Drosophila melanogaster: one gene and its partner. Changing the gene in region 2 together with the main gene of any one other region gives a genetic interaction. Each region holds a gene or a part of one and is shown on either strand. Other genes may lie near its edges. The genes, in order: Ced-12 and Eato.

Region 1 (5,127 bases), 1.7 Mb from region 2:
CAGAATCCCTTCTCGCGTGGTCCCATCCTGAATTTACTCGAATTCTTTGTCTGCCTGCCGGACCGGGGCGATGACAACGATCTCCTGCTGGAGGATAACATTTGATTAAGGATCTAGGATCGAGCCCCTGCTCGCCGGCGCAAGCTGCCCGTGCGTGGATAATGTTGCGAGGAGGCAGCCAGAGACCCACTCGGGTAGGCTGCCAGTTTGGTTTTGCTCCGCAGGCTTACTGCTTACTCGAATGCTTTAAAGTTCGAACCAAAGGTCGTCAAGTGCGTGTTTTATCATTTACAATTGCAATCAACATATCCTTGCGGAAGGACAAATCGATAGCAAATTCCAAGTGCAATTCAGAGCATCAATAAATTACATTGCTAAGATTCCATTATTGTTAACGGCTCCAAATCAATTCCTTCCGCAATGGTGTTCAAAGCATCGGCCAGCCGTGCTTTTTGCTTTTTTTAACTAACTAATTACCTTTTAGGCTTGGATAAGAATACGCTTCTCTTGTTAGTTTTTGTACAAAATTGTTATGTATAAAATGTGTTATTTAATGATCTCTATATATTATATACCTATTATAATCATAAATGGTGTAAAGTTCACTAAATGGCTAGGCAGCGGTTAGTCACTTGGACGTGACCGTCACCAGTTTGTTCATTTTGTGTTCGGGGAATTGCACAAGTAATACTAGTAGAAGATCAGATCGGAGAATACGATTATGTTGTGTGTACACTTTGGCATGTATCTTGGGTGATGGGGGAGTCTAGAATGAATCGAATAATTCGTGAAGTAATTGTGCTCGTTATGCTTAGCTCTCAAAGCAAAAATCATAGTTTTCGGGATCCTCCGGTATTGGCGGTGGGTCCTTGCTGATGTCCACACCTTCCGTGTCCAGCAGGCGCAATTTGATCTCCATCGACAGCAGAGTGTCGAAGTCCTCGTTCTTTTGCTTGCTGACCATCGGTTGACCCAGCAGCGCGTTTATTCCATCCGTCCAGTAGTTGAATATGCTTTCGTCGGGTGCCACAAAGTCCAACGTAGAGTGCTCCATGTTTTCGAAGGTGATGGAAAAGGCCAGGTTTACCGCCGATTTCCGAATGCGAGTTTCCTTCATATGCGGGCATTCCTTGCCCTCTAGCAATTGCTTAATCTCACTGATGGGCAGTTTCTTGGGCAACTCCTCCATGGTGGGTATTGTCTTCTCGTCGCAATCTCCGTAATGAATCACCTTGTGATTCGGCGAAAGACGAGCGTACCAGAACTTGTCCTTTGTTCGAGTGCCTCGCAAGTATTTTGCAAAATGTGTACCTATAAGTGCAAGATTTATCCATGTTAAGATTGCCCTTGAAATGTATTTATTAGAAATTGTACCTTCCACCAGAAAAGAGAGCCGTTGCTGCTTGATTAGCTCAAGAATTTGCGGTGATATCTTCTCTTTGAGCTTAACAATCGCCGAAGCTGTGGAATCACACTCCTCCTTCGAAGTGCGCTCCTGCTGGCGCAGTGTTGTGATCTGCTGATAGGTCAACAAAGCGATCTTGTTTCGGAAATCGTCCAGGTTCTCGGGTCTGCCCTTTAGAGTGCGCTGGATCTGCTCCCGCACCACGCTGAAGGTTGTGCTGAAGTCCTCGGCAGTGGCACGCATATCCTTCCATGTGCGATTCAGCGTAATGACGCATATGCAAAAGAATTCCTCGAACGGCGAATCGTGCGTAAAGAACATGGGCTGAAAGTCACCGGATTGCTCGGCTGGTGGCTCGCCGATGCGAAGGATGTCACATAGCACCTTGACCAATTCGATGGAGGTGCGTCCGAAGGGACACTCGTGCTCATCCGCACGGCAGGAGTTCTCCCTGACGATCTTCGCATACTGTTGCGTGTAGTTGCGTGCAAAATACACCATGCAATCCAACGCTAATATACCTGAGAAATACGTTTCGGATTATCAACCAAAATAGCTTTAATATAAGAACATATTCTTACCCGGCGGCGTCTCAATGAAATCCTGGGCAGGGTTAATATCGCACTTGAAGCCCAGCTTTTTGTAGTACTGCGAGAAGTTGACATTGCCAGCTCCGGAGCCACCGCCACGACGGATGTGATCGTCGTTTTGATTCAAAGCGTTGGTATTATCGTCGAAGGCAATGCGCCGCAGCTCCTTGATCTTCTCGTGCGCGTCCTGGTCCTGCGCGTTCATCTTCATACGCATGCGCTTCTCCAACAGGCCGAGAGTCAACGTTTGCAGCACGTACAGCTGGTGGGTCATCTCTGTGCCCAGTCCATTGCCGATAAGGGCCAGGCGGAACTGCTTGGCACTAATAGTTTGAGCAATGGTCCTGCGGCGGCCCTCGTCTGCTTTGACGAACAGAGCGTTCAGCAGGGCTATGGCATTTTGTCGCATCACCGGCGAATTGACATCCTGAAGCAATCGGAGAATATCCTGCAGCTTGATGTCCTCGGCAACAAGCACATGTTTATTGCTGCACATAACAATGTTCTCCAAGTTGGACAGGGCGCTCTCACCACAGTTCGTAGGATATTTCTGAAAGTTTCGCACGATCTCAATGTTGCGGGCCACGAATGAGTTTTCCGGCACCTCCCAGGACACCGTGCCGTGCTCCATCAGCTCCACAAAGCTGGCCAGGCTGTATTTCAGAATGTCTTCGTTGGTCTGGCCGCCATCCTCAATCATCTTAATGAGTGTGTCGAGACCCTTCTCCTTGATGAACTCCAGGGCAAATGTGTGATCGGTGCTTAGGGAAGTGAGCTCCTTTAGACGCAGCGCCTTCTCCTGTGGACTGCCATTGAGCAGCACCTCCATGGCATCGCAGGCAGTCTTGGATGGCGAATACTGCAGCTGCAGTACGGAGCCATTCTTGATCTCATTGCGATTCTTTTCGGTCACGTACTTTCGGTTAGTGGGCTCGTAGAACTGGAGTGCATAGTTCTGGTGATCGCTGATGGACCAACCATTGCAAATTTCCTGGATTTTACCTGCAAGCGAAGGCGGCATTAATACGCTGTAAATAGCAACTTCCTGACCAATTGTATGATTTGCATATAAATGAGAAAGAGGAAATGAGTGCGCTGACATCACGATAACACTTAAACATAGCGAAGGGCGTTGGTTGGAAGTTCCTCCCTTATGATGGGTTCCTTTGCTACTTTCAACATAATTCTGGTTTATTAACTTCTTGGAACTTTGTTTTACATGTTTAAAGCAGATTCTCTTTAAAACTGCTGCTCAGCAAGCGAAAAATCTTTGTTTTTATCCGCTATTTACTCACTTGCCAGCGGATGCCTTTGATCCAGATTTATCAACTGCGCTATATGGTCCTCTCGCTCCACGGCTATTTTCACAATGTGTGAATCCTTAACCGTCGTCTTTTTTGGTATCATTTTGGCACTCTTTCAATTAGCGATAATTGCAATTATTATTGTTTTTCTGCGTAAACTTATATTCTTTTTTTTTTTAATTCAGTGCAGTGTGACCAATTGACAAGTAGTATGGAATATCACACAGCACACAACCGTTGCGTTTTGTGGCATAGGCAACACTGGGCGGGAAAATTATGTGGATTTGAAATAAATATTTTAATGATAACAGCGCAGAGTAATTTCCTAGCTAATAAATGTATTAAAGTGAAAATAAGCAAGCAAATATGTTGTATTTTGTTTTATTTTATCGTCAGCAATTTAATAAGTTCACCGACAACCTTTACATTAATACTATTTCCCAGCAGTCGATACTTTTGTCGATTCGTTGTTTCTGGCGGAAATTCAAAATTCTCCGGAAAACTCATTAGACGAGCAACTTCCCGTGGCGTGAAATAGCGCAGTCTCACCTGGTGCAACAGGTCCAAGCGTTGCTGCAAAATCTTCTCCGACTTCGATGCATCCTGATTACTTGTGTCAATTTCCTTGACCAACTCGAAGATGCGGTGGGATTCGTCCTCCGAAAGCGGTGTGTATGCAGAGCCCGTGCCCTCGGTGTAATGGGTGTAGCCCTTTGTAAAGCACATGGATCTACTTTGAGCAGGATGTATTATGTCCATGACCAGCACTCTTTTGGTCAAGACATCGTCGGGCACCAGGAAATCGGGTGATACATTTTCCTCCACAATCTCGGCAATTTGTGAAAGACCCTGATTCTGGGCTATAGCACCCGGCATTTCTTCCCAGATCTTTCCACCGGCAAATGGAAAGTCTGCACCCTTGCGGGCGATGCAATAGTAGCGATATCGAGTATTTGGCACATTGAATTGCGTTGGCGTTAGAATAAACTCCCGCCAATGGAATCCCGACCGCTCCAGCGATTCAATAAACTGATTTCGCGCCTGTGAGCTCTCGAAACCCTTGACGTTTTCCATGAGTATGTACTCCAGTTCCTGGCACTCTGGGATCAGTCCACACAGATGAGTAAGTGCATCCGATCGCTTGTCTTCCGTGTCCCTTTGCAATCCCTGGCGAGTGTGGGGCTGACATGGCGGGGACATCAGCAGCATGTTGGCCTGAAGCTTTGTGACTTCCTTTACACTCAGGCTTTGAATATTCCTAGTTTTCACCAAATTACTGCCGTAATTGTGCGCATAAACCGCATTGGCCACGGTGTTGACATCCAAGGCGGCAACTATTTGTCCATCCAATTGGGCATCTTCAAAAGTATATATTAGTTTCGCATGTATCATGATCGACGAACTCACAATTAAAGGCATAATGCATGCCGCCAATGCCACTAAATAGTTCTAAGACCCGAAATACCATTTTAATTAAATATATTTTTGTTTACAAACTACACGTTGTGAGTGGCACGTTTTCCAACACTGCCCCACACAGCAGATTGTCTGCGTTTCCGTGTGATTGGTATAAGAAGAAGAATATCAACACGTGCCGCTCGCATTTTTGTGAATTCGTGATTCTCTCGGAATAATGATAAAAATTAAGCGAAAAACAGCCCCTCCGCCCGTGGAACAGGACTCGGACAGCGATTCCAGCTTTGACGAGGAGGAGCCACAGGATTTGGAAGTCCAGGAGGGGCCAGTCACTGATAGCAGCGATGAAGAAGCCGCCTCCAGCAGCAAAAAAACGGCCAAACAAGGGGAAGCCAGTGAGGATTTAAAGGAA
Region 2 (7,837 bases):
AGATATTCCTCAGCTATCTTGAAAACACTTGACCAAAGGACCACACTCTCCTGCGTGCTAACAAAGTAGGTGAGTGTGCCGGCATGGCTCTCGCGCAGTTCCAGACCAGGAAACTCTGACTTCAACGTGCCAGTGATCGTGGACACATTCATCTCCGTTTCGGTGTCCGCCTTCATTTTCAGTTTTATCGTGAAGCCGCTTAATCGCTTAAGGGCGCAAATATTGTTCAGACACTTGAACTTTCCGTGCGCCATGATGGCCAAGCGATTGCACAGCTCTTCGCACTCGTCCATGCTGTTTGTAGAGAATGTGTACACTTTTGAATCTGTTTGAAAAGGAAATATACTTTTTTGGGCTTACCTATGTGATGTGAGCACCACTGTTCGATCCTTTCCCTGGAAATCCTTGATGCATTGCCAAAGAAATCGTCTCGAGATGGGATCCACACCGGTGGTAGGTTCGTCCAGGAGCACCAGTGCGGGTGCACCAATCATGGCCATTGCCGCCAGAAGCTTGCGTTTCGTGCCGCCCGAATAGTGGCGCACTTGCACCTTTTGATATTTGGTCAAATGCATCTTCTCTAGCCAGTACTTCACGTGCTCCTTGCAGCTGGCTGGTCCATCGGTCCTTCGGCGGCTCAGGCCGCGCAGCAATGCCATGTAGTATAGGCACTGCTCGGCGGTCATGAATTTATTTAGTGCATCGTACTGAGGGCAGTAGCCAAAGTATTCCCGGTATTTCAACTCATGCTCGCGAATGTCTGCGCCTTTGATGCGGATAGTGCCACCATCTAGAGGCAAATTGGCCGCTATCATCTGAAAGGTACTTGTCTTACCCGCTCCGTTAACACCCAACAGACCAAAGCATTCACCCTGGGCAGCCGCAAAGCTGACTCCGTCCACAGCCAGCTTATCGCCGTATCGCTTGCGAAGATTGTGCACAATCAGTGAATGGTCGTTCAATGGGTCTTTTATCAGATCGGTAACCCGTTTTTCCTCCCTTGCACAATCATCAATTTCTGAGATCGGAGTACTGGGAAGGGTGCCTGTCGAATTGTATTTCTTTCTTTGGAATGCCCATTCCCAGATGCCATCATGAATTCGTCTGCGCAGATACTTGTGTTCCAGGACTATGGTAAAGAATGCCATGACCATAACACCCACGGCGGTGGCATAGGCAAAGAAGGTGTCCTGGCTGATAAGACCCTTTATAAGTGCCGGATGGCGTCGGGTTATAAAGTTTTCATTGATGATGCGAAACTGGTGATTAAGATTGAAGTCCGGTAGGAAGCAGAGGAAGGCGATCTTGGTCTCATGCAGTTTCATGGCCGCCGCATTGCTGGAGGTGATAAGTGGGGCAATGGCTAAAAGAAAATGGGTTTTATAGTTTTTCTAATTGTTGTCACTGGTTATAAAATCAAATAATATTACCGGACACAATCAGCATCAAAAGCAAATAAGTAGATATCGTGGATATCGACTTAAAGTTGTTTCCCAGGGCGTATAGAATGGGCAGGTAGCTGCAGCCGTAGAAAAATATGCTTAACACAATGACCTTAAGTTCAGCCGTTGTATACAGCTCCGAGGGCATCATCAAGGATTGCAGACTGAACAGGGCAACGCAGACGAAGATCAGGATCAGCATATCAAAAGTAAAATGCGCAAACCAATAAGTAAATCGCGACATGGTCTGCAGCTGTTTGAATCCATTGGCATATTCCCGAAACGGCAATGAGATGAAATAGAACATGAAGAAGAACATGCCGATCGGCACGATGACCGCATAGTATTCGAGGCGCGATGGACTTATGTCGCTAACAAATCGACGAATTGGCACGTAAGTCGTATCAATTTCAGACTCTGGACGCCCTAGCTTCAGCATTGCCGAGTCCACCAGGTTGATAAGCTCCACAGAGCTGTGGTAGCGATTGCCTGAGTAAAAAATCTCAATGGTGGGCGTATCGGAGGTGCCACGCCCACCTCCGTACATGTCAATAATGCCAATCACCTGCTCCAAGAAATCAGCCAAGTTGTCGCGTTGTAAGTCAAGGGATTCTAGAGAACACATGTATTGATAGAGCCATTAAAATGTTTAGCACAACGTCGCATACTCACCATTTTTCACATCATTACTCCCACGCAGGTGCATTGTTTTCGCTGTGATTCCATTCAGCTCGATCTGTTGACGCAGCTGCTGCTCCAAATGGGCGTGATGGCCCGTTGGATTGTGAACGTATATAACGCCACTGCCCATCTGGCTGAGCTTCAGCGGCAGAGCCTCTTCGTTCTCCACCAAGGACATGGCGTGCATCACCAGTATAGCCCCGAATACGCATACAAAGGGAATGCACAGCTAGCGAGAGGGGAGCACAAAAAGTTTTTAGTTCGTTTTAGTTTTAGTTGTTTTCGCCGTTTATACAACAGAGCAAAGTCCTACAAATTGCTAACAACTTACCATTATCAGAGTATATAACCATTCATTGGAAATAAAGGTCCACTTTTTGTAAAACACAGCCATCCAAAGTTGAAAAAGTCCGCGATGAGGGGGATGGTCTTGGAGTCTTTTGTAGTGTGCCAGTAGCGGCGCATCATTGCGCGAACCATCGGGGGTATCCACTTGATCCTGTTCGCCTGCGCATCTAAAACACCACATAAGATATTAAAGCAAAAACAATAAACAATGTATCTTCCAATCCCTACCTTAGGAAAACATCCTCCAGGGAAGTGTCGGTCATGGAAATTGTATGTATGCCCAGTTCCTTTGATTCAGTCTCCAGCCTATAAAGCATTTGTGCGAAACAATTTTTATAGGCATACGGCAGGCAGATATACACAGTAGGATTCACCACATTCTGTTCAACGTTTAAAGGATATTATGCACACGCCTTATATAAAGTTCATTTATTAATGACTTACCAAGACTCTGGCTGTTGGCACAAAGTGATGGATTATTTCCATGATTTCCACTTCTCTTGATGTAAAATCGTTGATCTCTAATTTGAGACGATAACCAATTCCCGATTTTCGTTTTAATTCCAAAGGACTCCCGATGCTCTGCAGTTTTCCATTGGCCAATATGCAGATGGTATCCCCAAGGACCTCGGCCTCCTCCATGTAGTGCGTGGTGACCAGAACGGCCTTCTCCTTGCGTAGATTAAGTAGGATGTCCCACAGCTCACGACGCGAGTTAATGTCCAATCCCGATGATGGTTCGTCAAGGATTACGATTCTGCGAGATTAAACAAAGATTTTTAAACCGAATATCTTTAAGCAATATATCTCTTAAGTTTACTTGGTGTTACCGGCAATGGCGATACCCAGTGATAAACGCCTCTTCATGCCTCCAGACAAATTCTTGCCGAATTCGTTTCGCTTATCGCTAAGTCCCAGCTTCTTAAGTTTCTCATCTGCCCAATCGCGTGCATCGGATCGGCAAGCTCCCCGCAGCTGGGCAAAGAACTCCAAGTGCTGGTGACATGTCATGTAGCTCATGAAAACGCTGTGCTGCGGACAGAATCCAATCAGGTGGCGATAGGAGGCCACATCGCGCTCACTGCACACAATTATCTTGCCCGAATCCTTTGGTACCAATCCTGAAAGAGAATCAACATGTGCATTGGATGGCCGAGGAAGCGAATTGAGTTTGAGTCCCTACCCATTATCATGTTCATCATGGTTGTTTTTCCAGCTCCATTGTGGCCCAGCAGGACAGTAATCTCCTTGTTGTTGATCGTCATGTTCAAGTTGTCCGAAATTAGCGTATCGCGCTTGCTTGTCTGGAACTTCTTGCACAACTCAGTGATTATGATAGCATGAGTGCCGCGCGGTGTCGTCGTGTATTCGTTGCGTTGTCGTTTCATGTAAGTCTTGGGCTATGGTTTAGAATAAAGAAAATTCTTAATTTAACCCTGTTTGGTTATGCAGCCGATAACCGATACGGAACTGTAAAAAGGACATTTTAACCGATTTCAATAAACAAGATTCGATCAAAGTAACCTATTGAAATAAAGAGTCTTACTGCATCTGATCTCATACTTGATTATAATGAACATAAAATTATAATACGAACTGAATTGAAGCTTATGTCGAGATAAGAAAATATATCACACGAGCGAAAATTTTGATCTGATACCGACATTAAATATCATTGGTTCGGACTTCGGAAATAGTACTTACATCTAGGAAAAAGAACATCGGTCGCTTTAGTCCACCAGGACCGGGAAAAACACAACCCAAATAGTTGTAGAGCATGGCATACAAAAAGGATTGAAAGACGAGAACCACGTAGACCGAAAACATCGTTGAGGAATTGCTTTTGATTACGCGAAATACATCCACAGCACCGAATTCGCGATCTTCAAAAAAAGCCAGTGTTCAAATTTAAATGTTAAGCTACTAAAAACCAATTTAAACTCTTACGCTTATTTGAAAATGTCTGAAAAATATCCAATCCCTCCAGAAAGGTATTCGTGCTAAAACACACAAATGCCAGCGATGTGGCCCAGCTTCGAACAAATGAGAATGCATAGGGAATTATTAGCATTGCCAGCCCTCCGATTTTCGCATAGAAAACTGTAAGTTATGTAGAAGATTAGTAAACTTTGCTGAATATATCAATGTAATTACTTACCTGAGTGGAAGCAAATAGAGATCAGATAAGCATACGACATGGTTGACAAAATGTAAAGCAGAAACAACACTGCCACGTAAGCAAAGCAGATGGAGCCCAGGGCCTTGTATAAATATGCAACGACCAGGACAAAGATCATAAGCAATGTGTAGCACACAAACCGAATGAGAAAGAAAGTGAGGCCGTTGAGGAAACTCATGGGCGTGACCAGGTTGAGAAACTCCTTCAGTCCGTTTTGCTTCTCCTCCACAAAGGGCACCACAAAGCTGCTTAGTAGGACCACATTGAATAGAATGCTGCACAGTGTTCCGAAATATGTCAATCGATGACTATCCATGCTGATGACCTCCATGTTGGGCATCGAGCTGACCACCACCTCAAAGTCTTTCCCGAGCTCCTGGTATTTCATATACTGTTTGTCCAATATGTGTTGCAAGGACAGGAATCCGGAACGAATATAATCATCATCATCTGATAAACAAAAACCAACATGCGGGTTCGTTAAACGGTAACAATGGAAAAATTGAACACGCACCTATCTGGTGATAAATTTCCTCGTCGTTCACAAATCGCTTTCTGGGCGAAATGCGCATCTGATTTGAGCTGAGGCTGTATCGGAACTTTCTGTCAGAGCCACGGTTCGGTACCCGGTGGAAGTCAATTGCGAAGCAGCTTCCACGGCACTGTTGCTCCATCTCCAGCTGCATCTCGAAGCTGTTGTTGTTGGGCCGAAGTCCTGCGCAATGAAATATTGTTAAATACAATCTAGAAGATAGTATCGCAAATATATGCAGTGAATTTTGTATGTTATTTTGTATGATCGTTATCAAAAGTACATATAAGCTTTATATGGTCGGAAACGTTTACGTTTACCATACAAACTTTTCCACATATCTAATTTATGAGATAATTTGGAAATGCACTTACGCTCTGGTATAATTCCCAGATCTACACGCAGGAGATCCATAATGTCCTCTACATTGGGAGAGATGGGTGAGTAGTAAATGTAATCCAGCTCATTACCGGGAAAGTACAATTCTCTAAGAACCATCTAATAAATAAATTGAAGTCCAATGATAAGGATTAGTGTGGTCACAGGTTTGTTATCACATGCATACGTATGTACAAATATAAAAAGCAGATAAAGTAGCAGTGCGAGGGAAACTTACTTCATTCTTTGCTTCAAACTGGTTAATTTGGTGAAGCACGGGCTTGACGGACCAGTGGAGGTACGCGGTGAGTACTCCGGCAAATCCGGAGCAGATAAGGAGCAGGGGCAGCAAGTTGCGTTGCAAGTAGAGCAAATTCTTCCGCAGAAAGACGAAGAACAGCGGGGTAAAAGTCCCAGCCATTTTCTGTTTAACATCAACTTTTCCCTAATTTTACTTTGCTTTGTTGAATGGCATTTTTTCTCTATCAACGTCGATAGTAATACTTATCGAAATGGGAACCGCACCCGCTCCTGAGACTTGAGTCACTGTGGGAATGAATTCAATAACATTGGACTTGTAGTAAAAAACGGAGGAACGCTACAAATAATTATTGTTTACTGATAAGTGTACAGTCTACTCGTAGCCAAAGCCAATGGGGGTCATAAAATAATTTTAAAAAGTGTGTAAACTTGGAATTTGTTTTTTATTTTCTTGTATATTTCACATTTTTAATTTGTTTTTTTGATTTATAAGTAAAATAAATATTGTTTAATTATATTTCATAAAAAGTTGCATTTAATTAAGCAAAGAACTCTTAATTTGTACCTTTAAAGTAAGAAATTTAACTTATTCCACAGTGTGTAAACAGTATATGTATTGGCTAAGATTAATACCATGCAGTTTCGCCATTACGGGCCATTCTTCTAAACTTGTTATAGCCATTTTATTTTGGTTAATAACAATAATATATATTAAAATTTATTTATTATATTCAGTTGGAATAATTTCAATTTGTGATTAAATTTTGCAGCTTCATTTTATTTATCGTTTAATATATAGCGTAAAAATAGCCAGAGTAGGACCACAGTCTTCGATATATCGATAGGCAGTGCCCTGAAATCGAAGTCTGTTTATTATAAATTTTTTATCATAATGAGCGGCTCGCAATTATTCCCAGTGAATCTGAACAACCTGAGTGCCAAGGAGCGACACAACTATATACTTAGTAATTACGTGCTTAACCTACCGAATGAGACGGAATCACGTCGGCACAAGCGAGACATCGATGTAATCCGAGAGAATCACCGCTTCCTGTGGGAGGACGACGAGTTGGATAGCGACACCCTAAGCTGGGAGCAGCGCTTGGCCCTGCGATACTACAGGAAGCTATTTAAGGAGTACTGCATCGCGGACCTGTCCCGCTACAAGGAGAACAAGATAGCGCTGCGCTGGCGAACGGAGCAGGAGGTGGTCACCGGAACCGGGCAGTTCCAGTGCGGCAGCCGGCATTGCGGGGAGCGGGATAATCTGCGCAGCTGGGAGGTAAACTTTAGGTATATCGAAAAGGGTGAGCCCCTAAATGCGCTGGTCAAGGTGGGTTCCAAATGGGTTTCCGCGATTGTGTCACTAATGGGAATTCCATAGGTGCGGCTGTGTCCCACCCACACGGATCAGCTGAACTACCGCACCAAGAAGAGAGAATGCAAGAAGCGGAGACGCAGGGAAAAGGAGGAACGGCGCGCTGAAAAGAAACGTAAGCGTCGAAAACTCGATGTTGGTCACGAAAGTTCTGGCGAAGAGGAGGAGGAGCCTGTCGAACCAGCATCCGAATCCCATCCAGAAGCCAGCAAGGAGCCCACAGACTCAAAGGATGCCACCACGGCAGACGAACAGATCTGGCAACAACAACCCGATATAAGCCGAGAGCAAGCCTCCAGAGAGCAGGAATTCGAGCGATATCTAGAGGATCTCATTTTTTAAAATACATAGCACATTTATTTGGATTCAACGTAGACACTAGTGCTCTTTTTTATAGTTACTGGCCGCTAGATGCGTTCGCTTACGAACTACGATGTACATGTACACTCACATTTACAGGATTATTCACAAGAACTGCGTGTTAAAACCGACACCAAATCTAAAGTTGAACTGGACATTAAGGCTGTGACTCTGATTGATTTTTGGAAACATTTCCGAATGGCTACATTTCAGGCATGCACCTAGTTCAATCGCTATTTCTATATCCATCGAATGCAAATCGAAGGTTCGAAAATACA

The links.
Region 1: of Eato (region 2) and Ced-12, changing one enhances a phenotype caused by changing the other (phenotypic enhancement), as found in Drosophila melanogaster (one study listed by BioGRID).

Annotation. Positions count from the first base shown.
Region 1 is NT_033779.5:12,096,226-12,101,352, reverse strand, and holds Ced-12 (Ced-12), read right to left. Parts: upstream 3,516-5,127; 5' UTR 3,403-3,515; coding exon 3,291-3,402; intron 2,998-3,290; coding exon 1,987-2,997; intron 1,927-1,986; coding exon 1,375-1,926; intron 1,312-1,374; coding exon 812-1,311; 3' UTR 514-811; downstream 1-513. Other genes in the region: patsas, read left to right, coding at 1-105; Mt2 (methyltransferase 2), read right to left, coding at 3,681-4,657, 4,707-4,767; CG6712 (uncharacterized protein), read left to right, coding at 4,933-5,127.
Region 2 is NT_033779.5:13,782,314-13,790,150, reverse strand, and holds the start of Eato (engulfment ABC transporter in the ovary), read right to left. Parts: upstream 6,068-7,837; 5' UTR 5,982-6,067; coding exon 5,799-5,981; intron 5,681-5,798; coding exon 5,557-5,680; intron 5,439-5,556; exon of another isoform or gene 5,366-5,438; coding exon 5,165-5,365; exon of another isoform or gene 5,101-5,164; coding exon 4,630-5,100; intron 4,572-4,629; coding exon 4,413-4,571; intron 4,355-4,412; coding exon 4,176-4,354; intron 3,942-4,175; coding exon of another isoform or gene 3,897-3,941; exon of another isoform or gene 3,872-3,896; coding exon 3,655-3,871; intron 3,593-3,654; coding exon 3,292-3,592; intron 3,229-3,291; coding exon 2,916-3,228; intron 2,852-2,915; coding exon 2,700-2,851; intron 2,639-2,699; coding exon 2,455-2,638; intron 2,353-2,454; coding exon 2,115-2,352; intron 2,055-2,114; coding exon 1,431-2,054; intron 1,364-1,430; coding exon 361-1,363; intron 295-360; coding exon 1-294. Other genes in the region: CG16890 (uncharacterized protein), read left to right, coding at 6,714-7,154, 7,206-7,541.